Linked DNA regions of Neurospora crassa OR74A. The protein of the gene in region 1 interacts with the protein of each later gene in a pairwise test. Links are inferred from orthologs where the notes say so. Each region holds a gene or a part of one and is shown on either strand. Other genes may lie near its edges.

Evidence for each region.
Region 2: the proteins of NCU00725 (region 1) and NCU03130 interact in a two-hybrid assay, tested with the Saccharomyces cerevisiae proteins (2 studies listed by BioGRID). The link is inferred for Neurospora crassa OR74A from reciprocal best matches to the Saccharomyces cerevisiae genes ENT3 and YOR111W.

The regions. Positions count from the first base shown.
Region 1 is NC_026501.1:7,397,525-7,414,440, forward strand, and holds NCU00725 (epsin-3), read left to right. Parts: upstream 1-9,088; 5' UTR 9,089-9,313; coding exon 9,314-9,395; intron 9,396-9,471; coding exon 9,472-9,503; intron 9,504-9,609; coding exon 9,610-9,689; intron 9,690-9,757; coding exon 9,758-11,129; 3' UTR 11,130-11,425; downstream 11,426-16,916. Other genes in the region: NCU00728 (hypothetical protein), read left to right, coding at 2,388-3,833; NCU00727 (hypothetical protein), read left to right, coding at 4,999-5,240, 5,316-6,306; csr-1 (peptidyl-prolyl cis-trans isomerase), read right to left, coding at 6,706-6,999, 7,066-7,235, 7,506-7,573, 7,668-7,807; NCU00724 (hypothetical protein), read left to right, coding at 12,467-12,553, 12,610-13,384, 13,499-14,578, 14,673-14,788. UniProt on the Saccharomyces cerevisiae protein: Involved in the recruitment of clathrin to the Golgi network and endosomes to form clathrin coated vesicles. Plays a role in the trafficking of clathrin between the Golgi network and endosomes.
Region 2 is NC_026501.1:4,657,216-4,673,328, forward strand, and holds NCU03130 (hypothetical protein), read left to right. Parts: upstream 1-8,890; 5' UTR 8,891-8,959; coding exon 8,960-9,157; intron 9,158-9,213; coding exon 9,214-9,888; 3' UTR 9,889-10,071; downstream 10,072-16,113. Other genes in the region: NCU03127 (urease Ure), read right to left, coding at 272-1,487, 1,561-2,765, 2,840-2,926, 3,210-3,230; NCU03128 (hypothetical protein), read right to left, coding at 3,848-5,731; NCU03129 (threonyl-tRNA synthetase), read left to right, coding at 6,915-8,408; NCU03131 (FAD dependent oxidoreductase superfamily protein), read right to left, coding at 10,134-11,271, 11,353-11,534; NCU03132 (hypothetical protein), read left to right, coding at 15,354-16,113. UniProt on the Saccharomyces cerevisiae protein: Nucleoside triphosphate pyrophosphatase that hydrolyzes dTTP and UTP. Can also hydrolyze the modified nucleotides 5-methyl-UTP (m(5)UTP) and pseudo-UTP. Has weak activity with CTP.

The DNA.
Region 1 (16,916 bases):
AGAAGGACGCTAGGGATTGAAACTAGGGCCATCTCTGTCGTAGATTGCCTTTGACTTGCATCATCATTTCGAAATTGGATGAGCAGGGCCAATGAAAACAGTTTGTTGGTTGCCATAATCATCACCATGGCTTTTGCTGAGCCAGTAGAAATTGGTACCAAGTGCACGACCCGGGGAAATGTCGAGGTTGCATCGTACCTTGCATCTCATCTGTACTAGAGGTAGGTACCCGTTCGGACGAACCTCCACAACGCTGGGACGGGAAAATACTGCGTAGTGCCTTCTGGCGGCCGCCGGCCTCCCCTTGCCATGAAAGAAATGATGTTCTGGGTTGTCCAGGCATCGAAATGTGATCGCCTAGCTGGAGTGTCATGTCCGAGACAATCGAAAAAAGCGTGGCACTCTGGAGCAAATATCCACCAAGAGACAAGAAGCGAATGAACGCAGCGGGCCTCTCCAGGTCCTTCCCAGCGTCTACCTTCAGGGAGATAACATACACATCCATCCTGGCGCACCTTTGGGCGCCCGAGTCTGCATTGCCCGGAACAAGATCCGTAGCAGCGGGAAAACAGCCCGGAGGCAACGAGTGCGGTAGGCAGAAGGATGTGGTTGTAACATGTAGCCCGACAAGGCTGGAACAAGGAAAAGACCATTCACTTTGTGGGCTATGAAACCGATGATGCGAACGAGCGAGAAAAGATTGCAGTGGCCGTTGTGGGTAAGACCGGTGATATGGGCATCCACAAGACTGCAGGGTTCGGGCTTGGTGTTCTTTTGAGACTTAGTCCTACCCACAGCGGCAACAGGCGAGATCAAACCACTAGTCTAGGTAACGGCTAAAGAGCTGAGATGGTCGGAGATCGACGACGAGCTATAGAGCAAACATCGCAAACAACCGATTAAGCGACCGAGGGAGGAAATGACAATCGTAAGTCAAAACCGTATCCAATTTCTGACAGATCCAAAGGACGATTTCGATATTCGCTTGGCGGATTGGCGGCATCCAATGGGCATCCAATGGGTAGGAATTGGCAGGCCATTGGCAGATATTGGCAGGTATTGGCAGTTGTTGGCAGTCTCGGCAGACTGGTGTGTGTCTTGGAACGTCCTGCACTTGGTTCCGTATTGCTGTTGCTCGCCGAAGATGCTTGCTCCATCGTCATTGCTCAGAATAACCAACAACTTGCTCTTCCAGCAATGGAAGCCCTCAAACCTGATTCTACAGGTCGACGGCGAGTGCGGTGGAAGAGATGCAACTTCAAACTGTGTCTGAACAAGAATCTAGACGACACAAGAAATTGCAAAGTTCGTCTAAACCGGTTCAGATCCGTTAAACAATCCTGTTGCCGGGTGAGTGAAAGCCACCGCTAAACCCTCTTCCCTGAATTTCGCAAAGGCCATTGATCTGGGCTGATGCCATTTCGCTGACTGTCAAAGTCTCCGAAAGAACCCACAACCTGTGAGCATGAGAATTATCCCATGAGCACAAACTCAATTACGTGATCTTCTGGATGAATTGGGGATACCGTATGATTTCGTCGAGAAGCAGGGTTACAGCTGTGCCATTTGCCTCTACAGCCACGTACATACAGCCGAACGTAGCCGGCAGACCTTTAGCCCCACAGAATCCGCACAATCATGCCTCATCTGTAACCCGCGGTTGACGAGATCATACGGCATGCTGTGCGCAATCAGGGCGGGATGTCTTTTGGTTGTGGTGCTGAAGAGCCTTGATTCACAAGGATGGTTTGTTTCTGTTGGTTGTTATGTGGCGACTTCGCATTGTGAGCTGACACAACTTAACATTGGCGGTTGTAGTTTATAAGGATCGTGGTACTCTGTCGAGGATGTCATTTACAGAGCTGGCTAACCCTGCATACCTAGACTGAACCTCATCATGTATGTAAGCAGTGGTAGGTCTATGACTATGAATCGCCTGTTCTTTTGTATGCATTTTTGACCGGAGAGTATGCACAGCATCTCTGTCATCAGCTGTATGCCGAAGACTTTGGACTGATGTTTCTGGAAGCCAACGGGCTTTGTAGAGGCTCACACCGCGACATTACATACTTCTGAGCATATCAATCAGACGATGTCGATGTGCCCCTGCAAGGTATAGGCGCGTCGATGTTGGGCAATCACGATTCCACAATCGGATGACCAGTTCAGAGCGCGACAAGAGAGTAGAAGAGATGGGTAGAAAATGAGAAAAGGGCTCGTTCGACCCTCATGGACGCTGGGTACCATTATCATGACGACTTGATTTTGTAAAGTCGGAAGCACCAAATATCATTTCTTGATCGTTCAGTCGTCAGTCTCTGATTGTTGTAACAACCTCGACAGCCCTGACCACAAGAAGACAAGGACCCAAAGCGCGCCAAGGCATCATGGTACTCCACAGTGTTCATGACCTGGATCCCACCGAAGGGACAGTGCGGCTGTACCGATTCGAGAATTCCCCAGTTGTCCTGGTCCCGAAGCCATCCAACGACCCAAACGATCCCCTGTTTTGGAGCCGGGGCAAGAAGAGGGTCGCTTTCCTATCGGTATGTTGGTTCGCTTTCTTAACCAACTTCGGCATCGGAGGCTTGACACCTGCCTTCTATCTCCTCTCCCTGGAATTCGGAAAGACACAAGCAGAGACCGGCGCCCTGCTGCTATGGCCCGTCCTCACACTCGGCGCCTCCAACTTCTTCTGGGTACCCATTGCCAACTATTGGGGCAAACGGCCAGTGTTATTTTTCGCGTGCGGGCTGCTCTGCGCGTGCTCCATGTGGGGAGCCGTGGCTGAAACGTTCGAGTCCTTACTATCGTCCCTCATCGTTGCAGCGTTTGCTGGATCGTCGACAGAAACCCTTGGAGCGAGCATGTTAAACGACCTGTACTTCTTGCACGAACGGGGTTCTGTGATGAGTACCTATATGACCTTCCTCTCGGGAGGGAACACCATCGGTCCACTCATTTGTGGCTTCATCGTGTCGAAGTACAGTTGGAGATGGCATAAGTGGCTGACCTTCATTCTGGCTGTCCCCAACTTCTTGGCGGTTGCTTTCCTGGTGCCCGAGACAACTTATGTCCGCTACAGCCTAAGGGCAGTTGACTTCGACTCGGGAACCAGTCGAGGACCGACTCCAAGGCTAGTCAGTCGCTCGAATGCGGAAAAGGGGCTCGGGTTCGGAAATGCTCAGGGAGCTCGTTCACATCTGGGCGACACTGATGAGAGCGACGCCGGTGTGAATCTTCCAAAGAAGTGCTGGGCAGAAGAGATTGGACTATGGCCTGTAGTCTCTCGTGACACCCCCCTCTGGCGGTTGTTCATCCGACCCTTCCCCTTGTGGTTATATCCTTGCGTCATTTTTGCCTTTCTTGCATATGCAATTTCGCTGGAGATGACGGTGGCCGTGAACATCCTAAATCCCTTTGTGTTTCAGGCACCGCCGTATAACTGGTCGCCCATGGTCAACGGTTTGATCAACATCCCAGGACTCATTGGTAACCTCTTCGGCAGCGTATTGGGCGGCTGGGCGGTTGACAAGTTTTGCGACTGGAAGACCAGGCGCAACAATGGCGTTTACGAACCAGAGAATCGACTGTGGCTCTGCATCGTACCTCTGATCATCAGCGGCTCGGGCTGCTTGGTGTTCGGATATGGCATTGAAAAGGCAATGGGCTGGGTCAGCCTGTTCTTTGGATATGGTATGATGTCGGTAGCATTGACGGCGGTGCCGACCATCACCATGGCCTATGTCTCGGACTGTCTGCTTCCACTAAACTCGGATGCTCTTATGCTTGTCAATGGTAAGAAGCAGCATGAGTCCCTCCTGGTTGAGTAACCTTGCTAATCACGGCACGATGTCAATAGGAACAAAGCATATTGTAAGCTTCTTCTTCGCGGCGTCGGTCTTGATCTGGGTCCAGATGGTGGGTTATGTTGAGGCTTTCGGAACAACGGCAGGCGTATTTGCGCTCATAGTGGGCGGAGGTATGGCAGTGTTGATTCCCTTTGGTGCGAGAATCAGGCACCGTCAAGCAACCTGGCGTATCATCCTGTGATGAGCGAAAGTTGTAAGAAGATGAAGAGGTAGTCAAGCCCAGATTGTCGGTGGTTGGATCATGGGATACACTGCGGCAAGGAGTTCCTTCAGTCAATGCATTTATCGTCCATTGTGGGCATCGATATCCTTCGGGTTGCACGTTGAGTTTCGCAGAAGGAATTTGATGAGCAGATAGATTTAGGGTGGGGGGAAAAGGGAAATCAAGCAGGAGACAATGGGTGAGCTAGATGACGTGTACACGATGTAGTGTGGTGACTCGATCCGCGAGAGTTGCTTTGTCAAAGAAAATTGGCGGTTGGAAGGTTGAAGGATGAGAAAAATGATAAGGTTGCAGAAGACCTGCGAAACTGGGATGGCCTGCGTGGTCCCGCAAGGCTGATCAGAAAGTGGAACGTGCTCCACTGAAGAGGACGCTTACATCGAGCATTCCGTGGATTATGCAACACTTCGGATTCCGTCACGCGTAAGAAGTCAGGGAATATTTACTTTGACAATTTGATATAGAAATACAAGACTTGGCTCATCAATGCTCGCAGTTTTACTTCATGTTGATCATGACTCTTTACTTATCGGGAAGAGGACATCTGACGAATCAACTTCCTGGAACTCTGAGCAGAAGTCACCGTCTTGGCATAACATGAGTGACCAATCACAAAACGCTTTATTCTGCTCTTTCATGCAAGGCTGAGAAAGGCGGGGCATTTCTTCTGGGAAATTTCGTGATCGACCAGTGCAACTCGGTTTGGCAAACCGACCTGCAGTTGGCCATACGCCACACCTTCTCTAAATCCAATCAACAGACCCATTTCAGACTGGGCATTGACGCTCACAACCAGCCAGGGCATTGTCTTTGTCCCGTCACGAGTCCCTTTTTTTCTTCCAAATTGTTGCGTCTCGGTCACCAGAACCACCACACGAAATTCCTAATCACCACCAGCACACGATGGCCGACCGCGACAAGATCCAGATCCTCAAGGATGCGCTTTACGAGGCGGCGAGGGACCACGGTTCCGATCAGCGTCTCTTCACGCAGCGGGACCTGTTGGACATGCAGGTCATCCCCCAAGACAATATCGGGTTGCTCATGCAGGTGATCCAAATTCTCTGCGATGAGAAGCTCTTTGTCGGCAACACCACGGCATCGGGGCTGTCGTGGAGATGGCGAAGCCGGGAGGATGCAAAGAAGTGCGTTACTACCTTTCTTTTTTCTTTTTAGGACACAACCGAGCACACCAACTAACCTCCCCTTCCTCCCAAAAGGTACACCTCCCTCCCCAACTCCGAAATAATGATGGTATACGCCATGGTCGACGAAGCCGGGGCCGACGGCATCTGGAACCGGACCATCAAGAACAAGCTCAACATGGCCGACTCGCTTATGAAGCATTGCATCAAGTATCTCGAGCAAAAGGGCTACATCGCCAGCATGAAGAACGTCGAGCACCCCAACAAGAAGATGTACATCAAGGCGAACCTACGTCCCTCCGATCGCGCCACAGGTGGCCCCTGGTTTACTGAGGGCGAGCTCGACACGGCCTTCATCAACGAGCTACAGGAAATTGTGTTTGACTTTATCAAGCAGAAATCGACATATACTTCCCACGGCGGCGGTGCTGGAGTACCAGGAGTAGGAGCACAAGGAGGAGGAGCACAGCAGCGTGAAAAGAATCCCAAGAAGGGCGTGGTTCAGGGGACCATTCCCCACTCGGAGGATATTTCCAAGGGGACGAAGCGCAGCGCGGGCGAGATTTCCAACGACGACACGGCGGCACCGGCACCGGCCAAGAAGACCAGGCCCGGCAAGCCGCAATTGCTGCCTCTCCCGGCCGGTTACAAGTCGTACCCGACTGTGTCGGACATTGCAAAGTTCATCCACCACGCCGGCATCACGAATAATACGACGTTGAGCGAGGCGGATATCCAGCAGTTGGTGGATGTGCTATACTACGATGGCTTAGTAGAGCCTGTCAAGGTCAATGGGCGCAAGGGGTACCGTGTGACGCGCATCCCCAAACAGGATCCGAGGACGTGCAATCAACGACGCCTCGACCATGATCCAACCAAAGGAGGCATTGTTACCTCATTTATGGGAGTTGAGCCGAGTGCAAGTGGCCTTATGGAGGCGCCTTGTGGGCGGTGCCCTGTCTATGATATGTGCGAGGAAGGCGGACCTGTCAGCCCCAGCAACTGCGTCTATTTCAGACGGTGGCTGGATGGTGACGAGGTACAGGAACAAGTCATTTCGATCTGATCGACTCGAATGTGTTTGTGTCTCCGTTTAGAAGACGTTGCATGGTCTCTATCACAACTGCATTAACGGCGTAAAAAAAAAGAAGGCAAGGGTAATTTGGTTTCATCTAGGCGTTGGAGGTAATCTGTTTAGCATTCAATGTGTTGGCGATAACATTCACATGACCTGCAAACTGTCTAGGAAAAGACATCAGTTTACGTGATCTCATCAACCATCAGTTTGCGTAATCACATCAACCATCAAAGCGACAGTGATGACGATGCAGTGAAGAAGGGTGGGTGTGCAGCGCAGGAAATCCATTTTGATGGGCTATCTAGATATTATAGCAGCACATTCATATGAATATTATGGTACCGCGACTCCAATCCCTAAAACCCTCGACAATGTCCACAAGGGAATTTAGAGAGCGCCGCAGTCGACAATGGTGGGCTTCTTGGAGTAACGAATAGCACCGCTGCTGGAGCCAGTAGCCTCAAGGGCCTTGACGACCTTCATGGACTCATCGTCAGCGACCTCGCCGAAGACGACGTGGCGGCCATCGAGCCAGCTGGTGGGGACAGTGGTGACGAAGAACTGGGAGCCGTTGGTGTTGGGGCCGGCGTTGGCCATGGAGAGAAGACCAGGGCGGACGTGCTTCTTGGCGAAGTTCTCATCGGCGAACTTCTCGCCGTAGATGGACTTGCCACCAGTGCCCTGTTCAGAGAGGTTAGGTCTTTATTTTCCCATGTTCGATAGCTTGTTGGGCGGACATGGACTTACGTTACCACGGGTGAAGTCACCACCCTGGAGCATGAACTCGGGGATAATGCGGTGGAAAGAAGAGCCCTTGTAGCCGAAGCCGTTCTGGCCAGTGCAGAGCTCCTTGAAGTTGCGGGCGGTCTTGGGGACAACGTCGTCGTAGAGGGTGAAGTTAATGCGGCCAGACTGAGCTGCATTGGGAGTTAGACATCCGATGGGCATGACATGACAGTTGACGGGCGGGGCCGGGGGGAGGGCGGTGAGGCTGAGTGGTGCGGGCGTTATGATTCAGGGGCACCGGTATGGAGGGGTAGTTCAGGAGCTTGCGGGCTGCGGCAACACCGGGACGACGCCGTGCTCATTGCGAACAACGACAGACGTCCAGGTGAAGTCCCAGCGACCGTCGCAAGTTTCCTGAGCCTGATTGATGAAGACAAAGCAGATGAGGAGAGTAGACTTACCCTTGATTTCGCTGGTGGGCTTGTTGTTGGGGCCGAGGACGGGACCCTCCCACTCGAGATCGAAGAAACTAAAGCATGCAGGTCAGTCGGTGTCCCTGAAGCTACGGGTAGGTAGGCGCAGCTCCCATGTTTGCGCGGACCTGGAGAAGCGGCTGGACTTACACCTTGGACATGATGCTGGATGTTTGCGAAAAAGCTCTGGCGCAGGAGAAAGTTGCAGTGGGCTTGAGAGATGACGAGAAAGTCGAGGAGACGAGAGAACCTGTTGTCTTAAGGACAGAGAAATGGCGGGGTCCAAACATTTTCACTAAAATGGAAAGGAGGGGTCAGCCAATCCGAGAAGTGGGGGGCGGAGAAGGTACGTAGCTGCTCGCCACGTGATTGATTGTTGCGACTCGAGCTGTCGGCCTGTCGCCACGCCGCCTGTTTCGGTCTCGTTTGCCAGTGCGGCGGGAGACGACGAAACAGCAGGTCAGCTTGACAACGTGGAGTGGTATGAGCCTCTGCAAGTGTCATCTTTGGCGCATGTGGGCTTCGGATTGGTTCGTTGGCTCAGGAACACCAGTACGAACAAGTAAACAGCTGCCATCTGGTGTTGGCGCTTCCCCCCCGAGTCTCCAAGGTCCCGTCGGCCCTGACGCTGACGGCAATGACAATCAAAACTGCCACCACCCGTGTGTGTATAGTTGGCAGCTAAAGCGCTGGCAAGAGCTATCCAAAGACATCCGGGCCAAAGGACCGTAGACCCATGGCTCCATCATATGGCTTGTTGGGTCTTCATAGCGTTGCGATTGCCTCTTTCATTTGGAGTCCCCCTCTGTCAATGCAGCCATTGACGACATTGCGGAGCCATGGACGATACCCCAAGCCGAACAAGAGGGATGGACGGCATTAACGACCTTGATGGCCATGTCTGGGGTAGGGACCAAAAGGCGGTGGTGGTATTGTCAAACTAACAAACCTCACCCCTCATCTCGAGCGTGGATGGAAAAAAGGACATTCGAATTGAATCTGATGCCAAGAAATCCCGGGAATGGAAGCTCTCAGAGCTCTGCCACAGATAGAGCTTGGAGCTTTGGGCAAGCTCCCAGCCGGCAGGGAGAGCTCCTCTAGACAGAAAAGGCTCAAGAAGAACATGGCAACAAAAGTAAAAATGATAACGTACCGGTTGTGGAAGATGAAATCCTGGATGATTGTAGGATGATAATGAAGCTAAAAGTACAAGGTAAAGTCCGAACAAACGAACGATGGAAATCTGCTACACGGCGATGGATGCACAACAAAGACCTGAGACGAGAGGGAGAACGGAGTCGGGTCGGGTGTTTAACAATTTTTACTCCATCCAAAATGCATGGAAGCGAGCTCCGGCGGCCGAGCGTCCCCTCCCGCCGCCCCGCGTTGTCGGCCGGCCCGGCAATTACAAGCAGAATTCTTGCCTGAAAACTCAGGCTTCAAAGAGCTGAGACGCTCGTGCCAAGCTTTCAAAGTCTTGGCAGACCTCCTGGGTTCCACTGGCTTCTTGGTGTCAGGGTGTTGGGTCAAGCGCAGGGGTCGGCCTTGGACGGCGTCAGTTGAGGTCAGCGCTCAGCGGCACCCTGACGCTAGGCCACCTCAATGTCCATCTGATCCCGACAAGACCGTGAAACGTCGCCCTGAAAGCGATCAGCCCGAACAAAAACCACCAAGTCGCCACAGCATCCCGCCCGTCTGGCAATCATCACCGCGAGGCTCAGATTGGATCTAGAGAAGAATTACCTTAGCCCATCAGAACAATTCCCAGCAACTCCGGCGATAGACACGTTTACGCAATGGATTTCAATAGCCTCAAGGATACCGTGTCCAACCTGACACTCTACGACATCAAGGCTGGCGTACGAAAGGTTCAAAATGGTAGGTGACCACCTAGTCCAGAACCAAGACTCCCTCATGATTTCGTGTTCAGGGTGCTGACAATGGCTCCAACCAGCTGTCATGAACTATACCGAGATGGAGTCCAAGGTATGCCCGTATCCACGCGCCACACTGGCACCATTCTCTTGCGCCCTTCGCCATATACTTGATCCCAGACAAGAGACCATGGAACGGGAGCTGACAGCGAACCCAGGTGCGCGAGGCCACCAACAATGAACCTTGGGGTGCATCGTCGACTTTGATGCAAGAGATCGCCGATGGCACCTTCAACTAGTACGTTCTCGAGAACTGCTCGCTTGTATACGAACGCGGCTAACTTGCGTTTCCCTCCTTGTTCTTAGCCAAACACTCAACGAAATCATGCCCATGATTTACCGCCGTTTCACAGAAAAGTCCGCCGAAGAATGGCGCCAGATCTACAAGGCCCTTCAACTACTAGAGTACCTGATTAAGCACGGTTCCGAACGAGTGGTGGACGATGCTCGGTCGCATCTTACCCTCCTCAAGATGCTGCGCCAGTTCCATTTTATCGACCAGAACGGCAAAGACCAGGGTATCAACGTCCGCAACCGCGCCAAGGAACTCGCCGAGCTCCTCAGCGATGTCGAGCGTATCCGAGCAGAGCGCAAGAAGGCCCGCGCAAACAAGGGCAAGTTCACGGGCATTTCGGGTGGAATGAGCTTCTCCAGCGGGAGCAGCGGACGTTATGGCGGTTTCGGCAACACTTCGTATGGCGGTAGCAGCAGTGGTGGCGGTGGTAGCAGCTCTACCTACGGTGGCTATTCTGGAGGAGTTTATGGCGACGGAGGTGTTTTTGGTGGCCAGCCTTCCAACAACGACTACCGCGGGACCCAGGCACGGGCAGAGCAGTTTGAGGAATACGATGCAGGTGATTTGGACGCTGAGGCGTCGTCTCGTACCGCGCCAAGGACACCACGATCCACGACAGAAAGAGCCGGGGTCAAGAAAACAACAGCACCCGCCGAGCCGCCCAAGAAAAAGGAGCCCGAGATCGACTTGTTTTCCTTCGACGAGCCCGCAGCGCCATCCATCCCGACCGCGCCCCTCGCTGCCGCACCTTCCAACGGCTCTGGGCTTGCGGCTCTAGCCGGCGGCGCCAAAGACGACGACGACGAGTTCGATGATTTCCAGTCTGCAGCCCCCGCCACGCAGCCTGCTTCTGCAATTTCTCCCCCAATCGCCCCCCTCTCTACTGGCACACAGTTTGTTGCCCCGCAACCAGTTTCGGCGCCTCAGCAGGCCAACCTTAGCGGCATGGTTGCCCTCTCCTCCATCTCTCCTCCTCCCAGCTCCACGGCGACTCCTGCTGCCAACTTCTCGGCTTTCTCCACGCCCCTTTCGCCCGTCTCCCAGGCTCCCAAGCCAACTGGCTTCCAAGCCGGTCAGCCAAACTACTTTTCCCCGGTACAGCTGCAGACCCAGTCCACCGGGTCCTCGCTTTCAGGAACCAAGGCAACCGGTTCAGCTGCCTCCAAGCCAGCCGCTGGCGGTGACGCCTTCGGTGCGCTGTGGTCGCAGGCTAGTGCTGGAATCAAGAAGAGCACGCCTACCACCAAGGGTCCGGCTATCGGACAACTGGCCAAAGAGAAGAGTAGTGCTGGTATTTGGGGAACTCCTGCGCCCTCCACTCCGACCAGCGGTAGCAGGCCCACCACTGGCGGCAACCACGGGTTGGACGATCTGCTCGGTTAATTACCTGACTGGGTGTGAGGAGTTTTCCAAGGAGTATTTAGAACCGCTGTCGTCTACTTACGGAAGCGGGATCCTTGGAGTAGATCAAGGGTGTGCAGTTACACAAAGAGGAGATGAGCAGTTAAACGATTTATATTCCACGTAATGTTATTGGAGGTAGGGGTGGGTATCTTGCAGCGCCTCTCGTCTGCAACAAAATTTCACGTCTATTTATGCTGCATTCGGCTTCTTTGTGTTTGTCACGTTTTGTTTCCGCGTGCGAGTCCCTCAAAGAGTGAACTGATCCGTAACTTAAGTCCCCGTATACACTCATCCTCACCTTCACAATTCCAGAAGACCCAAGCCGGCTGTTGAGTCGCTCATGGTCAAGTAACCCGATGTTGCGGTCGATCTGTTGTTTTATCTTGTGGAATTCGCATAGCTTCCATCCCTGATGTTCGTTTGATGGAACTTTTACCACTGAAGCTCCTTGCCTTCTTTATTGGCTTCACTTCTGGCCCGTTATGAACTGGTGAACCCCCTCAACCCCCCCCCCCCCCCCCCCCCCCCCCCCCCTTTTCCGTCTGTCTTTATTTTTCTGGCATATCAGCCTCCTCGAATGGTTTGAACAACCGTAAGGCTGGAGCATCATCCCAACATGCAGTCCATCAACATGAGCTAGAATACTTCATCCAATAGTGAGTTCATGGATCGCAAAGTATGTGTCCAGTGACTCAAGCCTCCGCACTCGCCCTCGGCTCGGTATGACGGCGCAAGGCCAGCCTCGAACACCCTCGACCCACCGATCACAACCTCAACAGTCGATCAGTCATTACCACCAAAATGATTAATGACTACGAGCACCAAAGCGCACACTCATGGCCAATGCGTCGAAACGTCTGTTGCCGTGAGCAACACGGAAAAATCACAGATCAGTGGCTTTGATCTTGGAACCGTGCTCAACATCTATTTAATTCTCTCTACCATGCAGACGCTCTACTTATTTTTTTCTGGTCCAATTCTTTCCCTCGAGTTTCCCATTCTGCGACATAAATAATGCAGCCGCCTGGATGCGTGCCATATTAATTCAAGTCAATTTCTTTACAAACTGACCTACATGATTGATAGCCCGTCAGGAACGGGAACCGCATATCAAGGATTATTGCTCTTTGACTATAATCTCTCTACACTCACTGACGACATTTCTTTTGGGGACTTTTCAAGCCCGTGAGATCAACATGGGCTCCTCTTCCCCTGGCACGACGCCTATCCGGAACTTTGAGTCCCTTACTCCCCAATGCTTCTATAGCTATGTCTTTCTTTTTTCCCGTTTCTTATTGATTATAGCGCTTTCCACCATGGCCGGGATAGCTGGCAGCTTGCTTGGTAACATGACTAAAGCAGGTGAATCACCAGCCACAAGCCTCGTGGCTCTCATGATCCTGGTATGTTCAACTCCTTTGTTTCTTTCTAACCCTTGAGACGCTAACGAAATCTACAGACATCTGCTTCACTCCTCTGGTGCCTCTTCTCCCTGTCCGGCTACTCCCGTCGCCACTTTCCCTACAAAGTCACTATCGTCACCGACCTAATTTTCCTCATTGCCTTTGGTGTTTTCTCGGTCCTCCTCGGCCTTCCCATGCACGATGGCGGTACAAAGTGCCCTCGAGTCAAAGCAGAGGGTGGCTTTGTCCTCCGAGCCGGCCCATTGGGGGTCCTGAATTTCTCTAGCGAACCAAACGATCGTGTGTCATGCACGAAAATCTATCTTTTCTGGGTCCTTATGCTGGTTGACTGCGCGTCATTCGTCCTAAGCGCTGCCTCGGTCGGGGTTATCGCGTCTGAGGAGACGCAGTTCAACAAAGCACTATTGTGCGCAAGGGCAATGAGTGGTCCGGTGGGTGACATCGACTATCATCGCCGTCCGTCCGAGATCTCTGTGGCGGGATTGGAGGAGGTTGTTTCTGGAGCCGAGCAGCAGTTCCGGCCACGGCCGAATATGCACGTCAGAAAACGGAGTCTAGATTCCGGGAACGTAGCTCATGGCGAAGGCAGGAGCGGCGGTGGTACCTACCACCAAGCGGACACAGTATCTGGAAACCCATATCGGGTCGACACGACAAGTAGACTCGGTACGGGCTCAAGCCGGTACGACTGCTCCCCAAGAGTCGACAGCTCGCTTGGTTCCGGTTCCGACCACGAAGCGACTTCAGGACGCTCACTTGGCAACCCAGTGCTCCAAAGAGGGAGCGACCTGATCAACACCTACAACCGCAGTTAGGGACGCGGCGGGGGTGGGGGCGCATGGACATCGTCAAGTCGGGAAGGAGCAGCAGGACCAGGGGAGCAGCAGAGTCCCAACCAGAGCCAGCAACAACACTGCCGAGCAGAAGGACTTGCAAACAATCGGGAACTTGTCACCGAACCACCACCCAAGCCAGTTTCCATTACCGTTCTCCAAGCGCGCAGTGACGCTCTGGACCAGTTGGAAGGCCGATCATCGGCATCCATTGATTTGGCTGATGCTCCTTATTACCGAGACCTGTATGCCCACTTCGCTCAACCGAGGAAGCCTTCCGGCCCCGGCCCCGGCCCCGGCGCCGTACCCGATAATGACAGCCGGGCAACACCTTTCACCAACACCAACCGGTACAATCCACAAGAGCAAACACACAGGAAGTGGAAAAAACAACGCCCCTCCGGGATCATATTCCTACCGTCCAGCTCCGACATTCCGTCCAGCCCGATCCACCATCCCCATTCCGGTCCCGATCCTGATCCGGTGTCGACGGTCAAACCCAACATCTACACCTCCAACCACAACTCAAAAACCACCCAAATCCACCCAACCCAAGCACGAACCCGATCACAGACGCAAACACGCAGACAACACGACTCCTACACCTCCTCCGTCGACTCCAGCCCCTCCAACTACGACGACACCCGGTTCAACCACCGTGACCTTCCCTCGCCCGTTGGTCTAGACCCTCCACCTCGCTCTTCTCTAGGCGCCATCGAGTTGAAGTACAGCCTACCGCCGAGACCAAGGACGACTTTGCGACTGGTGGACCAAGAAACCTTGAATAAGTTGGAGGGCATAAATGAGGAGAAGGAGGAGGTTGGGAGTGCCATTGTGCACATGGACGGGTGGCATGGGCATGGGGATGCGGTTATTGAGTTGAATGAGATTCCTATTTTACCTGTACCTGCTGTATCGCCGGGTAGGAGGGCACCGGGGACACAGCTAGATGGGCGGACAGAGAGAAAACAACAAGTGTGGGAATGGGAGTGGGGGCAACGATCGAAACAACAAGAAGTAGAACAGACACAGAGCGCGGGAAGAAGGGCTGCTGGAGAGGCTAGAGGGGCAAGGAGTACACGATGGCCTGCTGCTGTCTGGGGTGTTGGTTTAGGTTCAGTACATGGACGACGCGATGATGATAATGATGATGAGCAGTGCGATACAAGTAGTAAGCATCGTGGCGGCGTTTTCAAAGCTAGGTCAACCAGGTTGTTCTCGACTATTGGAGCGTGGTTGAATGGTATTGATGGTAATGATATTAGGAATGATGGAACTTGCCAGCGGGATGGCTATGAACTTGAACTGCGGTCGGAGCATGGGAGAGGAGGTCACCCGTGGGATATGGTTTAGAAATAGGGCACTGATGATCTGGAGGTAGACAAACAGAGAGAGTGAAAAGCTCAGCGCATGCATGCTCTTTGTTCACTAATACATGGCCTTCATCGTACGGATTTTTTTTCCCATCACCATATCTCCACTGCCTTGACCTGTGAATTCCTCCCCTCTTCACCCTCCCCCTCTTCCAGGTTCCTACGTGCCCAAATCAGCTTTCAACAACGTCGTGAGTCCAACTTATCGCCCATTTCGCCACCGACTCGTTCCAACCTCCGATGCACTTCGACCTTTTTTAATTGATCTATACTACTGATGGTAGTAGTATTATCCTTTGCCAATGTACTGTATTGCGATCCTTTTCCTGTGAACCCTAATACAGTAATATGTCACCCAGCTCCTGATTATCCCTCCCGCTCTTTCCATCATTTCCATTTGACAACGGGCTCGAAGAATTTCACCTAAGTCACGGCTATGACTTGCTAAATGTATTTTCTACCCTCTCGTGATTGGAAAAAAAAAAAAAGTCAATCAGAGCAGCATGGCTGGTACACAACGAAGACAAGTTGAGACAGGTAAGGAGTATCACCTTTTGCCTTGACCTCGTGACAAGGATGGGTTACTTGTTCTGCATTAAACTAGTGTATTCAGCTAAAGTCTCAACGCTACGTAGGCAGAGGTAGAGTCACGGATTAGATACGAGCTCTCGGTCGGTATTAAAATGTCAGTCAGTCAGTGCACCGAGAGCTATACGATAACTGCCCAGGGCACCACCCTCCGTGCGCTCTTTTAGAAACTCGAGGAAAATCAGTTGGTGACGGCCCGCTGATGGCAGGGACTGGACCTCTTGATTGTTGAGAAGCCCTTCCGTAGTAAGGCAAGTAAAACTTCTGTCAATGTTCTTTTTGCTCCATCGCGTACATCTTTTTCTCTGTTTGTAATGAAGTGGTTATGCCCCAGCGTTGATTTCTACGAGAGAATTGTCCGGACAGTACCTAAACACTCTTACGCGGTCAATTCCAGGCTGAAAAGAGTGGAAGCAAAACGAGTGATGGTGTCTTCGTTGTCTTTCGGCACCTTTCTCGGCGTCGTTTCGGCGTTGTGTACATTTGCTCTTTTTGTGAAAAAGGCTGTGATACTTATAGTATGTCGCTGGGTTTCGCTGATTAGCATTGATTTCTGATGATATTTTGTTGTTGGCTACCATAGTAGCGGCTTGCTGCTCAAAGGTAATCAGGACTATGATTGATCGGTACGTACCTATACTTCATGTAATCTGTTGCTCAATGCTGCATCCGTTAAAAAACACCAATCCGCTGTCATATCCCAATGCCTAATCCAACATCCAGCCATCTCGTTCGATTCGTTCTGTATTCTTCCGCAATGGTGAATTGGGGTGAAGGCATGCTGATAGCCATAGACGGCCCCATGGGACAACACGGTCCGCCTTTTAGCCCATCACAGCCTCTCTTTAACCAAGACCGGAATTGAAGATCGGGTGGAGGAATAACAAACCTTCCATCTGGCCGACTTCCATTACATTCAACCGATAAACCCTCGTCTCAAGAACCTGGTGTGGACACCTCTGAAAAGAGAAGGCAGATTTGGGCAGCCACGCAGTTCTTCTTGAATTCCCGGGTCTCCAAACTTCCACCGTGCCAAATAGAAAAGAATGCTCCCAAACACGGCAACGGTGACGGATACTAGAAGGTAGAACCCAAGGCCGACGTCAAGGTTGGCGTCAGTGTCCACGTAAGTGAGTTCGAATGTGTCCAAATCCATATTGAGGAATGCTTGGAGGACGTAGTCGACAGCTTGGTGATAGGCGGTGTCCTCACGACAAGCGAAATCCAGTACGCTGGTTATTGCGAAGATAATAAAAGAGAAAGTAACCGATGCGGCGCGCATCGTTAGCCTGACTGTGCGAATGAAGGACTTTATCGGGAAGAACTGATGGGGCCAGTTAGTGTGAGCATATTCTGAGGAGTCGTAGGTGAGGCTCCATACCATGGTGCGGCCTTGAGAACCGGGCTCTCCTACATCATGCTGTAGTGAAGTGTTGGGTGAAATTGAGGAATGCTGATAATTTCATATGCTGCGTTATGTTGTGTGTTGAATACGTGACTGTCGTATACTGATACAGCGCGGGGATAATTTGCATTCAAGGCGGTCAT
Region 2 (16,113 bases), about 2.7 Mb from region 1:
GTACATTAAGATGGTGCAGTGGTGTTGGTCACAGGAAGAGCTCGTCTACAATCTTAGCAACGGTACCATATGTGGATGGAGCAAGTCACCACGGCAATCTGGAATCAACGACTGCCAGTGGCACACGAGTAGAACGAAGGAGAAGCAACTCAAATCTCTTTCACTGCCCGAGTATACAATAACCCGTATGACTGCCTCCTCCTTCCCGCCGCCTGGCAAAAACAAACTGCCCCTTTAGTTACCTCACTTCCTTTCCCCGCTCCCTTTTCTCTCAATAAACAAAATAACTCTGCGTCAATGGCAACTCGCTACTCGGCTCCGCTGTACATACCTCCCCATCCGCCTCAACCGTATACCTCTCAGGGTCGACCTTCATCCTCGGCATCCTCTCATTAAACTTCATATCTTTCTTGCCCACCGTTCTACACCCCTTCACCGCCTCCACTCTACTCTTCAATCCATACCCTTCAATTGCACCACTATCCAAGCTCGCCTGCGAAACAAACAGCACCTTGGACTTGGCAACCATGGGCGCAAACATGGGCCGCGCAATAACCGGCTGCACCGTCGGGATTGAGGCATTGGGATCGCCCATCATCGCGCTGGCGATTAATCCGGACTTGATGACGAGGGAGGGCTTGGTGCCGAACCAGGCTGGGTCCCAGACGACCAGGTCGGCGAGCTTGCCGGGTTCGATAGAGCCGATCAGGTGCGACATGCCCTGCGCGAGGGCCGGGTTGATGGTGTATTTGGAAATGTAGCGCTTCACCCGGTGGTTATCCGCCCCGCCGGTGCCTTGGTCCTCCGGGAGGGGACCACGCTGGAGTTTATTCTTGTGTGCCGTGTTCCATGTGCGAAGAATGACCTCGCCGCAACGACCCATGGCCTGGCTGTCGCTGCTCATCATGCTGATGGCGCCCAAGTCGTGCAGCACGTCCTCGGCGGCGATGGTCTCGGCGCGGATGCGCGACTCGGCGAAGGCCACGTCCTCGGGAATGTTTTTGGAGAGGTGATGGCATACCATTAACATGTCCAGGTGCTCGTCTAGGGTGTTGCGGGTGAACGGCCTGGTGGGGTTAGTGCTCGAGGGGAGGACATTGGGGTGTTCAACAACAGAGATGATATCCGGTGCGTGCCCGCCGCCGGCACCTTCGGTGTGGTACGTGTGGATGGTGCGGCCGGCGAAGGCGGCGATGGTCGATTCAACGAAGCCGGACTCGTTCAGAGTGTCGGTATGGATTAGACATTGCACGTCGAGCTCGTCACAGACGGTTAGGCAGGAGTCGATGGCAGCAGGGGTGGTGCCCCAGTCTTCGTGCAGCTTGAGGCCGCAGGCGCCGGCGAGGATCTGTTCCCGAAGGGCGGAGGGGGAGCTGTCGTTGCCTTTGCCGGTTATCCCGATGTTGAGAGGGAGCGAGTCGCAGGCTTGAAGCATTTGGCGCATGTAATGGGCGCCGGGGGTGCAGGTGGTTGCGTTTGTACCGGCGCTGGGAGGTGGAAGTTAGTTTCGTGATATGTTGACAAAAGGGGGAGAAGCAAGGGAAAGAGAGAAAAGCATACCTTGGACCAGTTCCACCACCAAGGAAAGTAGTGATACCAGCAGCCAGAGCCTCAGCCGCCTGTTGAGGGCAGATGAAGTGAATATGCGTATCAATACCTCCCGCCGTGATGATCTTGCCCTCTCCCGCCACCACATCCGTACAACTTCCCACAATCATGCCCGGCGTAACACCGTCCATTACATCCGGGTTACCAGCTTTGCCAATGCCCACAATGACACCAGCCTTGACACCAATATCCGCCTTGTAGATGCCCGTCCAATCCACCACCAACGCGTTCGTCACCACCATATCCAGCGTCTCCTCATCCGACCTACCCGTCGCCTGCCCCATGCCCTCGCGCAGGGTCTTGCCGCCGCCGAATTTACATTCGTCCCCGTAAACAGTGTAATCCTTCTCGACCTTGATCCACAGATCCGTAGCTCCCAGCCTCACCATATCACCCACCGTCGGGCCAAACATGACCGCGTACGCCCTCCGGTCCATGGTAAACGGCTCGCTGATGAATGCCGCCGCATCGCCCACCGGCTCCTCCGGCGCGTGGGCAAACCCGGCCTTCTGCAACTTGGCAATGATCTCTTCCGCCCTTGTCAAGTCAAGCTTGCCTGAGGCCAGGTTGTTGCCGCCCCTGATGACCTTGTTGCCGCCAATCTCCACCAGCGTGACCGTCTTGGTGTCGCCGGGCTCGAACCGCACGGAAGTGCCGGCGGGAATGTCCAGCCGATACCCGTACGCCCGCGCCCTGTCGAACTCCAGCTGCGGATTCGTCTCGATGAAGTGGTAGTGGCTACCGACTTGAATCGGACGGTCTCCCTTGCTGGTCACACGAAGACGGATGCGTTTCCGGCCCTCGTTCAACTTGACCTTGGCCTCCTTGACGCAAACCACGGCGCCGGGCTGCTTGCTGGCTTCGTAGGCGGCGGCAGGAGGCAAGGGAAAAACGGAGTCGTCATTGGGCGGGATCGGCAGGAAGCTGCCGTACAGGGCGCGAGCGAGGTCACCGTCGTCGCTGCTGATGGGGTTGTGCACGGTGACCAGGTACGTTCCGGAAGGGAAAGTGCCCTCGACTTGAATCTCGTGCAGGGTCGAGGTCACTTCGGGCAAGACGTGGCGGCGGCCGAGCATGGTGGCGCCCAGTGCCATGAGGTCGGCAACGGTGTGGTTGCCATCGCGTATGAGCTCTTGGAGGTTGTTGGCGATGAGCGCCTGGGTTGGTGAGTGGGTTGTGTTATAGTGAGGCGAAAGTGAGGAGGAAAAGGATCTGGAAGAGAGAAACTTACAGTGGCTTCGGAATGGTTCAGTTTTATACCTCTTGCTAGACGTCTTTGAGCTAGGAATCCTAGCTGAGAGATGGCGAGCTTATCGAGCTGTCAAGGGGAAAGCAAGACACGATTTTGTCAATAGGTTAGTGATGCGGACTTGCTGCTATTTGGGATGAATCCTTCTTATGAAGTCGTCACACTCCGGATAGAGTCCAGCCTAGTCACACAGGGTAAAACAGTGCCATCTTGCGCTTTTATACACACAATGTTGATCGATGTCCGTAACTCCTTCGTTTGTTTGAACCGTGATCTGAGGTGTCTTGGTCTCCTTGTAAAACGCAGATGTGAAGGATCAACGGGGGCACACAACAAAACAACTACCACTAACCTCTTTGGGAATCAGATGCATCTTGTTCCTGTCGATGTTGACGAGAGTTTCGATCCAAGTTCGACAATAAACGAGGTCAGGAAAAAGAGAACAGTGACGTCCTCTGCCCCAATGACACTAACATCGAGGACTGCTAGTAGTTTTAACCCCCGCGTGGTTCTGTACCAGCTGCTTATCAGTCCGCTTCCATCCAACGTTCTAGATGCGGCCGCGGTAAAAGACACCGACTGCGGTGGGATGTTGTCCCAGAGATTGCTGTACCCCGCACACTTTTACTGATAAGGCGGATATTGTTTGTAACAGCTCAGTACATGTAACCTTTTCGTTGTTTACAACTCCAAAGGGCACCAGCAACGATGATAGGGGTAGTCACACTTGCACTGACAAAGAAAAAGCAAAACACCATCTGTACCACGAGTAACATGATGGATTGAGGATATTGCGTATGCGAATTTCCTCCTTGGATTTTGTTTCCAAGAAACTCATCTATACAGCAAGCTAATGTGTGAAATTTGAACTCCAAACTCCCCCGACTCCCAAACTACCCCTGAGATATGAAAGTACATGTAGAACGCTTCGAGGAATACTCTCATCCTGCTCCAACATATGTAACCTGCCATTTGCGACCTTGACATTGTCTACCAACCAAGACCAGGAATACGTCTATTGTACGCCTTTGCCTCCAACTCCGGCAACTCCTCTTTCCCCCTAGCCAACGCCTCCCGCACACGCTCATTCTCGACATCCCTTATCTTATTCCTCGCCGATTCCAGCCTTTCAACTCCCCTATCAATAGTTTCGACATGTACATATAGCGGTATCTCAAGACCAGCATCCCTCGCCACCTCCGGCTCTCCAACCCGGTCTCTTAGCCCGTTCAGGCTGACCTGAATGTTCTGCAGCTCAACAATGAGTTCGCTGACCTGTTTCACGGCTTCCGAGCGCTGGTCCTCAACCTTCCTAAGCAGCGCCAGCTGGTTGTTGTAGCTCTTGCGGTTCTCGGATTTGATGCCGATGTAGGTCCACAATTCCCAAAAGACCTCCTCCTTCTTTGCCTGTATGTGTTCCTGAGTTCTAGTCACGAAATCGTATATGACTTCGAGGTGGTCTTCCGCCCTCTGCAACGTAATCAGGACGGCTTGCGCTTCCCTTATCAGGTTGGCAATTTTGTCCGAGACGCGGATCGTGTGGTCGATGTACTGGTCCAGAAGCTTGCGCTCCGTGTAGGTGGATGGCTGAAAGGGGGAGAAGACCCAGTCCCACCACTCGCCCAAGATGCCGCGGTGCTTCATGTCATCTGATAGTTCATCGATGTACCGAGATGTCCATCGGTTGACGCTGATTATGGAATCTATTGTTGATCCCACGCGGGTGTTGAACCTTTGAAGATCCCAAGTTGCCGAGCTAGCGGCGTCGATGTACCCGTCAAATTCAAGTATCAGTTGTTCTTTGCCGTGAAGCTGGCTGTAGCGAACCATGGTACGCAGGTCACGGATGGCTAGCTCGGAGCGCTTCATCTCCAAAGGCAGCGAAGCACTTTCGGCAGCTTTTTCTAGAACCCCCTCAAAGCGATCCTGAATCTCTATCACAGGGTCGAACTGGATGTGCGTGTTTGTTTTCGCGGACATATCGAGACAGAATGGCAGGTTGAGCCATTTTGCGCCTGGTACACGACATACTGGTGATAAGGCCGTATAGAGGGATAATGTCGCCATGTTCTGGACCATCGAAAGGAGTCCAAAGATGAGATACACAGCTGCCAGAATGGCGATGGGTTTTTGCGCATATTTGAACGCAAGGCCAACGACTCCCAAGGCCCAAGAAAAAGTGTTGAAAACGGCATCCGGTACCGAGTCGAAAAATCGGTCAAAAAACCCCTGAATCTCTGGCGCCTGTTGTCGTTTTGATGTCCCAAGTCTAGACCTCCTCATTTCTTCGACCCTCTCCTCAATATCCGCATTGACTTCGGTCTCCTCCCCTGACGAATGATGATCCTTACGGAAGTCTGTTGATGGGTGACGGCCGGAACGATGTGTTTGTCGGTGGCGTAGACCAGGCAGCGAAGGCGGAAACTGTCGCACTGTCATGGACGACCGTGCACTGGATCGTCGGCTGTCGACAAGTCTGCTATCTACATCGACCATGGGCATGTAAAACTCCTGTGGTGATGGCTGGATCCGGTGTCTCATGTTTTCGCGAGAAGCGTGCCGGACAGATTGTGGAATTGAAGGCCGGAAGGGAGTTCTCATGATGACTTGATCGTCGTCCTCGGCTCTGTGTAGGAAACTCTCGAGACTCTCGTCCTGTGACCCTCCTATACTGAATGGCTGAGATCCGTCCAAACTGAAGGGCTGGCTCCCCTCTATATGCGAGTGATCGCTTTGGCTGGACAGGATCATATCGTTGCCATCATAGTCGTCGGGCATCAATGAGGTGTCGAAGCTATCATTCTCGCCTCCCTCGACCATGCGCCACGAACTCGATACATTGGGCGGCTGCCCTGGTGGTTGACGTCCCGACATGGTTACATAAACACCATGGAATGAGCTCGTGGGGAAGCTATGATGAAAGTTGCGAAGTCAAGGTTTTATAGAGATGGGATCGCGATAACATGGAGCGTAAAGATCCAAGACGTCGGGATTGTTGGTTGGTGTGTGTGCACTTAGGCAACAGTGCTTCTTGTAGGTGTCCTGGTTTGATTTGATTGTTGACAGCGGGGGGACTCGGCCAATTCTTAATGGCAACTGATAACTGGTTCTTTGTTTACCGCGAAGTCGACTCCAGGCTTCAAGTCGCTCAAAAGCAAGGGGCGCATAGGCTAATACCGTGTAGAGGAGTCACGATAAGGCACCGATACACGGGGATAAGTGGTGAAAACGGAACTATCAGCTGAGGCGCGTGAGATCAGAGGTAACTGTTCTGCGGGTACAGGATGTATAGAAGAACAGGGGAGATGGGTATGTTCTTTGATAGTCCAGCAAATAGCCCTGGAGAGATGAGGCTGAGTGAGATGTCGTTAAACCAAGCAACTGGAATGCGACGGAAATGGACTAGGTGAAGGTTAAACTGTAGGGTAGGCGGAGAAGAGGAGGGAGAAGGCAACCAAACGTCAAGTCAAGGTGGTGTAAGGTACCGATGCACGCTGCTACAGTGTGTGTATGTGCCGCAGCGCATAAGTATCCTGTCACAGGACGGGATGATGTGAAGAAAGAAAGAGTTCTGGTGACCTTGCTTTGTATCGTCGACTTCGGTCGGTCACAGAGAGCAGCAGGCAGGACGGTGACTCGGTGAACATTGAAGTGGTGAGTGACGTCGAGAAGAATCACGATTCACGACGGCCAGCACCGCGTGTCTCACTTACATATAAAGGTAGGTACCTATCACCCCAAGTCACCTGCCCCCGCCCGGCAGACAGGTGCCCCACTGAGGTGTGTTGACGGTAAACGGCCCCGAGCTGCCCGGGGTTGAGGTTGGAGGGCTGGCCCAGTGCAGTGGTGTCCACAATGGAAGCTCCCACCCAGGGCGGGGACCCCTTGCAGCGGCAGGGGCACATGGGATGAGCCGATCGCTGTCGCCAAGACAAGCGCGACAAAGAAGCCAGCCGCCATTCTGTCTGGAAAAGTCGGGTTTCCCGTGATCACACCCAATTCCAACACCTCTTAACGACGACCGCACATCCTGACAGTGTGGAGAGGCGACGGGAGGATGCTCTCTCCACGGCTTACAAGATGGACTTCGCGGGCTCTTTTGACCCGAGCTAGGGTACCGCTCGCTCGTCCTGCCATCTCCCAAGTCCAGGTGCGCCATCGGCTGTGCTCGTCTTGCGCCAGCGCGAACCCCGTCCCCACGAAGCCAGCAGCGCCCGACCATCGCGATCTCGGAACACAACAGGAGCTGTTCATGACCTCGATCTACAGCCCTGGATCGCCCATCTTCCTGCCCAATGGCGCCCGCATCTTCAACCGTCTTGTCGAATACCTCCGCAAGCAATACGTTCACTATGGCTTTCAGGAAGTCATTACCCCGACCATCTACAAGAAGGCGCTCTGGGCCAAGTCGGGCCATCTCGAGAACTACGCCGACGACATGTTTACCGTCACGAGCACATCCCCCTCGCGCGCCGATGTTACCGAGGCCGGCGAAGCCGACGAGTACGGACTCAAACCCATGAACTGCCCTGGCCATTGTCTGATATTCGCGGCGCAAAAACGGAGCTATCGCGACCTCCCCATTCGCTACGCCGACTTTAGCCCCCTCCACCGTAACGAAATTTCGGGCGCATTGAGTGGCCTTACCCGTGTTCGCAGATTTCACCAAGACGACGGCCATATTTTCTGTCGACCGAATCAGATCGAGGACGAAATCAGCAAGACCCTCGAATTCATTCGACGCGTATACAAGGACTTCCGCCTGGGATCGTATCGTTTGAAGCTTTCCACGAGACCCGAAAACCATATCGGTAGTCTGGAGGATTGGGAGCATGCAGAAGGATCCTTGAAACGAGCGCTGGACAATTCGGGAGAGCCATGGACCTTGAACGAGGGAGATGGTGCCTTTTACGGGCCCAAGATCGATGTAATCCTCAAGGACTCGGACGGAAAGGAACATCAGACGGCCACCATCCAGCTCGACTTCCAGCTGCCCAAGCGGTTCGAGCTCGAGTATCAGGCGCCAGCTCCCGAACTGGAGGCCAAGGGTGAGACAACTACGGACCCCGAGCTCCTTGCTGTCTCCGGACCCGTGAGACCTGTTATGATCCACCGGGCTGTCCTAGGCTCGGCGGAGCGCATGTTCGCTTTGCTGATTGAGCACTATAATGGCAAATGGCCATTTTGGCTGAACCCCAGACAGGGCATTGTCCTCACAGTAAACGACAGTGAGCCGGTGTTACAATTCGCGCGCAATACGCAGAAGGTGCTGCTGGGTACAGACTCTGCAGATGTTCACGTATCCCCGTCGGGCCTTGCTGTCGACCTCGATGACAGTGCGCGCAGTCTGTCGCTCAAGATTCGCGAGGCCAAGACCAAGGGTTATGGTATGATCATCGTGGTTGGCCCCAAGGATATTGCCAATGGCACTGTCACGGTTGATGCTACCGGCGGTCTTCAGACAGGCGACAAGCCGGCGCAGAAGAACCTCGTCATGACGCCTGAGGAGCTGCTGCAATTCATGAAGACCAAGGTAGATGCATACGAATGAACGATTGCCTGCCGTTCTGCGTAAGCTACCACTTTGTCTCCGCGTCGTACGAGGTCTCCTACTTTGTCTCTCGGTATTCTCAGTCGTGCAATCCGTCCAATATCTCAAAAATTGTGACTTGCTTGTTTTGCTTTGTAGTGCCGGTCAGACAAGGCTGATCACAGCACGTTGAGCAAGTGCCGGCGATGACGCAGTGCCGCCGCTAGTGTATGTACATGGGAAAGTGAAGTGGGGCTACCATTTCTTCCTCCAGTTGGCTTTTGTTATCTCCCCTGTCGTGCACCACTTCCAGAGCTTCCTGCGGTTCCTTGACACAAGACGATCGCCGGGCACCTTCCAGTCCCCCCAGCACTTGAAGCAGCGCTAGGGAACAGCGGCCCTGAGCCCCTCCCCCACCGGCACCAACGGGACCGGGAGCTCTCCACCGCTGCCAGGGGCACCATACCCGTTCCAACTCCTATCCCATTACATTGAGGTTGCTACCTCTACCTACAACTTTTGGCAAAACATCGTCCTAGTTACTTTCCTATAACCCAAGCAGATAACCAGCCATGGATCCCACTGCTCCTGAACCCGAGAACCCACCGGCTTACATCGCCGCAGCCCGCCGGCATGGAATACCACTCCGGCAGAGCGCCCCCATCAAACGGGGCCCTATGCCCCTTCAGCTTCCCATCCTTGATCATCTACGTACCAAGAGGGTGATTTTGGCGTCGGCATCGCCTCGACGAAAAGCTCTCCTCAACCAGGTAAGTCATCATCTTTATACTACGGTCTACTCAAGTCTAACAAGTTTACCAAACAGCTTGGCTTGCACGACGTCGAAATATTCCCATCAGACAAGCCCGAAGACGTCGAAAAGGGCAAGATTACTCCCGAAGAATATGTTGCCGAGACGGCCCGCCGCAAAATCCTGCACGTGTACGAGCAGGCCCTCAGGCAACAAGAAGAAGACGAGCAGAACAAGAACGTAGAGAGGCCTGCCGATCCAGCCCTTGTCATCTCCGCCGACACCGTCATCGCTACACGCTCCGGTCGGATCCTCGAGAAGCCGCGCGACGAGCAGGACCACATCCGCATGCTGAAACACCTTCGCGACACGCGTGTGCACCGTGTGCTGACGGCTGTGTGCGTGCTCGCCCCAAAGGACAACGCAGCCCATCCGGGATATGAGCTAGAGACGCACGTGGAAGACACCGAGGTTTACTTTGCGCAGGCTCGTGACGGACTGCCCGATGACGTAATTGAGGCCTACGTCAAGACGCGCGAGGGTGCGGATAAGGCTGGCGGCTATGCCATCCAGGGAATCGGAGGTATGGTGCTGATTGACAAGATTGAGGGTAGCGTGGACAATGTTGTTGGGTTGCCGGTTAGGAAAACCTTGCAGTTGGCAGAGAAGGTGATCTTCAAGCAGGGCATCGAAGATGACGATATTGGCAGCGATGAGGAGGATGATGATGAAGAACCCTATCAAGACTGATGCAGGGGTACCAACTGGTTGAAGCTGCCGATAAACACAGGGACGGGAGCCCTGGCCACGGTAGTTCTACTAACTAATTGACCGGGGGTGACGGAATGAAGGGCCAGGTGCCCATACAGAGCTTAGAACGTCAACATACGATAGACAAGAATAATGATGGGACTAGAATGCCCTTTCAGCAAGAAGTCTGTGAAGTGAAAACTCAATTTCATGGCATATGTTGACTTATACATCGAGCCGTGGGTCTACAACCTCGAACCCTTCTCGCTCTCAAGATGCCCCTGAATGCCCTCAATCACACCCTCCGCCACACCCCAAGACAACTCATACCCTCTCCCTCCCAACCCATAGGCATGCATCACGAAACCAGCCCCATCCACCACCTCCCCCTCCAGCCTCAACCCCCCTTTCCTCGTCGGCCTCCTCCCCACGATATCCCTCACCGGCGTCAACCGCGTCTTCCCATCTGCCAATATCCTCGGATACGTCCCCTCAAACGCCCTCAACAACCTCTCCCTTACCTCCGGATCCGGCTTCGGATCCCAATTATCTGGCTCCTTGGTGCCGCCGATAATGGTGCCCGCCTTGAACCCTCTGGGTACACAAAACGTCCAGGTCCCATCCGCATTCTGTCTCGTCACCGTCGCATCGCACGGTTCCTGGACCAAGCACGTCTGTCCCCGCGTGGGGAACACCATCTCGTCGTCACCTAATCCGATGCCGGTGGCGTTCACCACCGCGTCCGCTGGGGGGATTGTCGCTCCGAATTCTTGGACCGAGTCGGAGAATAACTGGAACACTTCCGCAACAGAACGCACGTCCCGCTTAAACACCTTCCCGCCCCTGGCAATGATCTGCCCCAAAAGGAACAAGCAGTATTGCATCGGATTCACGCACCACGTGTCGTACTCGCAGCCCCATTGAACCTTGTCATCGGGGAACTCGTGAGTCTCCAGCACGCGAAAGTGGCCGGGTAGTCCTAGCTCTTGTGACGCCCGCTGAGGGGTCAGGGAGGTGTACTCGGGCCCCGGAGATTCGAGGTATTCGATTCCCTTGAGGAAGGTGATGCCCGCCTGTTGGTCCTGGCCCTGGCTCTGGAAAAGTTGCATGCGGTGGAAGGTGGAGAGGGAAAAGGCGTGTTCGCGGATGCGGAGGGCGTGCTCGGCTTGTTGGGTGGGGGTTAAAGGAGTAGAGGAGGAGGAGGAGGAGGGTGGGAAGGGGGGCACCCAGCGGTTGTGGGCGCCGCCCCAGGGGGAGGTGAAGTTGATTTGGGATCGGGGATCGATGGATTCAAAGGGGGCAGGAAGGTCTTTGGCGAGGATGGTGGTGGCGTAGTTGGCTTCGAGGAGGGCGAGGGCGGAGGACAGGCCGATTACGCCGGCGCTTGGATTTTGGGAGTCATGTTAGATTATCCAGGGCAGAGCAATGATTTGCTATTCATGATGCATCAGATGTCATACTAACCCGATAACGACGACGTGCCCCTTGGGTTCAGACATGATGATGCTAAATAATCTCCGTGGACTCGTGGTGTAGGACACTATTGAATGTCTTGGGGCGAAGCTCACAATCAGAGGAGGCGGCGAGGTTCGAGTAGAAGAAGGTCTGAGGGAATATGTCGTGGTGGTTGGAAACCTCAAATGCATCAGTGGATTGACTAATTCACACGACGATGCTTGAGTCTTGTAAGTCGTGAAGGTATTGCCAATATCAAAAATAACAAGGATTCTTGGGGACCTTTTATACTATTCAGATACGTCAACGGTTGATATCAACACAAGGCTCCGTCTTCGCAATCATCGCCAACGATAATCAACCGTGTCGCTCATGGGACGATAAGCCGCACACATATATGCAGAGCACGATTAGAATCAGGCACACGACGCCAAGAGGAGCTAGAAAACGTGGAATGACCATTAAAGGCAGACTCGGGAAGCATTCCGGAAATGGAAGGAATGCGGTGCGGTCAGCCGTCCATAGAGGTATGTACAGTTCGATACGGGTTTGTGTCTTAGCTCAAGATCTCAGGTTAACTTCCCTGAGCGTTGTCATTTCTGGCCGATTCGTTGTAATCTTCGATTAAAGTGAGATTGGGGTTGTGAATATGCTTCTTCCGGAAGTTTAGATAGGTACCGTTGTGGATCTTCTCTAATGCCTTTCCGGTTCCTACCTAGCTACTCATCCAACTTCACGGTATGGGAATATTCGAAATCAAAATTGATCTCGTCCAGTGTACCGAGATAGTTACCGAGCTAACAAACAAACCAGCACTAGATTGTTTATAGAGGTAGCCTGACGGACAAAGTCCGGTCTAAGAGCGCGGCTGCCCCGTGCCGGCTCGAAGACCGCCCGGAATTCCCCACTTTGGGCCGAACTGTACCAAAGGATTGGCAGTTCTCCGAAAATCGACCCCGGAGGCGACTGGAAAGGGTTGCTGTTTCTTCTAAGTTCTGCGAAAAAGAAAAGGGAGAGAGAAGGGGAAGAGGGGAGACAATCATGTCTGGAATGCCACAGGTAGACATCATGTATCTCCAATGGAAAATCTGGAAGATATAAGACCTCAAGATCGTTCATCGCTCTTTTATACTAGGTCACCCGTCTGCGACTATAATAGTAAAATAAGGGCTAATCATGGCAACGTCTTTTGAACTCTTCATTCTTTTGGTTCAGTTATTCTCTCAGAATCCAACGTAAATTCTCGATTTACTCTTTACCAAATTTCTTCTCACTTGAACAAATGGTCAAACAGTTTGCGTCAGGCAACTAGTCCAGTCTACGACCTAAATAAAGAGAAGCTCAGTCAGCAACTACCAAGCAGTCCATGCAATCAGCCAACTATGTACATTCGCTTTGAGATCCAACAGAGTGGGAAAATATTCGTGGAATGTCGCATCAAAGATCTTGCATTCAAATCAGTGTCAAAACTCACACCCCAAAACCGTACACTATGCCCACGCTGAGTGGATCTTCGTTCGCGAATTCCAAAGACGGGACTGCGAGGATAGAGAATGGAAGGATGGTCAAGATATGTATAGAAGCATGTTTTTTCTTCTTCTACTCCTTCTTCTATCCACCCATGCAAACGAATCGGTAGGTAGGCAACAACAGCTCACCGCAACCCATGAAGAAGTTGTGCATGGTGCCCACGCACGACATCGCGAAACTAACAGATGTAACTGTATCCGGGAGTCTCTCGTGCCGGTACCATAATAGAAATTCATGAGGTTGCCTCATTGACTTGTGCGGGGGGGGGGGGGGGGGGGGGAGAGTAACGGCGCGGATCTATGTATGTGATGAAAAAAAAAAAAAAAAAAAAAAAAAAAAGACGAGTAACAGCCGCTTATGACTCGCAGGTGATTCTCGTTCCCGGTAAAGAGCGACGCATCTCGTCTGTCTCCGTGGATCTCCGTACCGGCGAAGGAGAACTAAATCCAGGACGGAATTGATCAAGCCGCCCACGGAGCTCGTGTTCATCGATATGTACTTGAGAATAGCCTTTGGGTTTATACAGAACCGGAGAAACCTAGTTGAACTTTTGTAAGGATCCGTCTCACCTTGGAAATCAGCCCAGGAGTGTAGAAGCAAAAAAGGGGGTTTTCTGTGCAGACTGTGAGCTTATCCAGCCCTCGGCCGATGTACAAAGGGTCATCATTCCACGGGACGGATATTCCTTGATTTGCACAACGCCGCTCGGAAATGAAAATGGTCTTTATCACCGTACCCATTCGACAGCGATAACGCGGTTATTCCGTTCGTGGCGGCAAAGGCGGCCACCTGAAGCGACCTTGTCAACGCGGCGGCCGTTCCTGATGGCCATCCATTAGTACATTAGTTATAGGTAACACGAGGGCAAAATTGCGCTTCAACGACCCTATCGGCAGCTGATAAGTCGTGATCGCAATCAGACAGCCGCCACATGTGTCTGCGATAGCTGAATCGCGCCGAGGAGGTTTTGGGGCGGAGATCACTGAAATTTGACTATGTTGAACAGCAACCCAAGTGACATTGTCGGGTCACATACCCTCGGGACGGGAGCAAGTAGTATGATTTGATGACACACTTGCATCTGTATACCAGAGCCTGGACCTGATCTTCATCATCTTAATCATCTTAACCGTAGATGAAGACACCATCAGTACCTTGCCGCATCGTCCAAAGCATGACACTTTCACAGCAATCAACGACTGCCAGATGTAGTAAATGCCAAGACTTCCTACGAAAGAACTCAATCAGGATGACGGCCGAGACAGGAATGCAACTGCGCGTAGAGGTACGCAAAGAGCGGGCAGTCAGCGCAGTGAAGAAAAGACCAAACTTTCTTGGCGGCATTGGAAAAGGTTGTCGATATGGAAACCACTTCCGCCAGCCAGAGGACGGTACACACTCTTGTGAAATGTGATGTCGCTGCTCGCTCAAGTGCTGCCCGATGCGACTTTGACAAAGGGCGTCTAGATGCAGCGTGATCCGGTCGCTGATTGGTCACTCACCCCCAAGTCCGTCTCATCGGAGCCAGGGGTCCAAGAGGGTCTCACCACCCCAGTAACCCCAGGCAACTCCCCAGAATGGATCAGAACTGATCCTAGCAGCTATTTTGGGCGGCTATTCCTTTCTATCTTTCACCTAGTTTCCCGCCGTACAGTTGCTTCCGACCACTCACACAGCTCTCCTGTCTGCCCACCCAACGCAAGTGGAAGTTCAACAACCACTCCCACCACTGGTCTCTTCTCAGTCCACGGTGCCCCCCCCCCGTCCCGTTGGAGTCGTTGCCCACATCGAAAGCCAGGAACCAAGCGCTTAGAATACATCGCGATTGGAAGGATCTCACGCACTCGGAAGGGATGGGGCCAGCCAGGGCAGACCACACAGCAATGAGCTGCACCTCCTCGGCGCTGCTGCTCTTCCTCCACCCTGATCAGTGACCTTTTCTTGGGTGGTAGCGTCGGTCTTTATGCCGGTCTGTGAGCCCTAGTTCGCCCGGGTCTAAGAGAATGCGTGTAGCTTGGGAGCGAGAGCGGGAAGAGCACTGTGTAAGGCGTATGATTGCGGACACCCACGGCAGGGCAAGACCACATGGTAGAACAAATATGTATTGAGGGGGCCCAGTCTTCCTGTGCCGATGACAAGATCTTCTTGTCGTGTTCCGACGGATTGGTTCTTCTATCAACCTTATTCCCGCCTCGCCGGTCCTGTCCCTGCTCTCTGCTCCCGGGAGCCGTTTGATGCCATCGTCCGGATATCTGTTGACAGATCCTTGGGTTTGATTTATTCGTTTTATTTGATCTGCGATCATGTCTCGGTAGCAGGTCGACTGCCATTTCCTTGTGATACCTCTATTGACCTTTCGTGGGTCGGTCATTGAGTTCAACGAAGACGAAGAGGAAAGAAGATCGACGATTCCTACGAATAACGACCACTACTACGCCTGGAATAACCTCCGTTGAATCATTAGGATCGCACTATCAGATATGTCAACAACGACAACAACTCAGGCAGGAGGCGGGTTCTCTCTCTTCCCCAACACCAACGTCACACCAAGACCACCTTCAAGGCCGTCGAGAGCTGCGACACCTCAAGGTCGACCTTCGACATCAACAGAACCATCATCGTCCCGGGAGGCAGGAAGGCAATCGCCAATTGGACGGGTAGTACTACGGGAAGGGAAGCAAAGGTCGGCTTCAAACTCCAACAACCCTTGGCAGTCAGCGCTAGACTCGGCTCGACAGCAGCGGGAACATCGAGAGCAACCTCAGGAGCAACCGCAGCGACCACCACTAGTTGAGAACATGTCATCGGATCCAATCGTCGAAACCAGTGTTGCTGCGCCCATCTCTGAAGCAGACGCGCCTCCACGCTGTGAGACGACACTGTCCGAGGCAGAGACGCTGGTCGGGCAGCAAAGTAGGGGAGCTCAAAGCTCGTTCGCCAACCCACCGATTGCATATACTCCTGGACCTTTGAACACAGCAACGGTAGCAGCTCCTACCTCCATCCCCGAACCACCACAACCACCACAACCACCACAACCACCACAACCACCACAACCACCACAGCCAGCTGCCATTCGATCGATATTCCCACGATATAACCCCGAACTGCCCCTAGATCGTCAGGACTACTACCCTACCCAGGCCAGTCCTACACATATTCCCCAGTCCGCCATCAGCAGACCCATGTACTCAGCCCGTGACACCGATCAGCAAAGTGAAGTTGGCACCAATGCTGGTA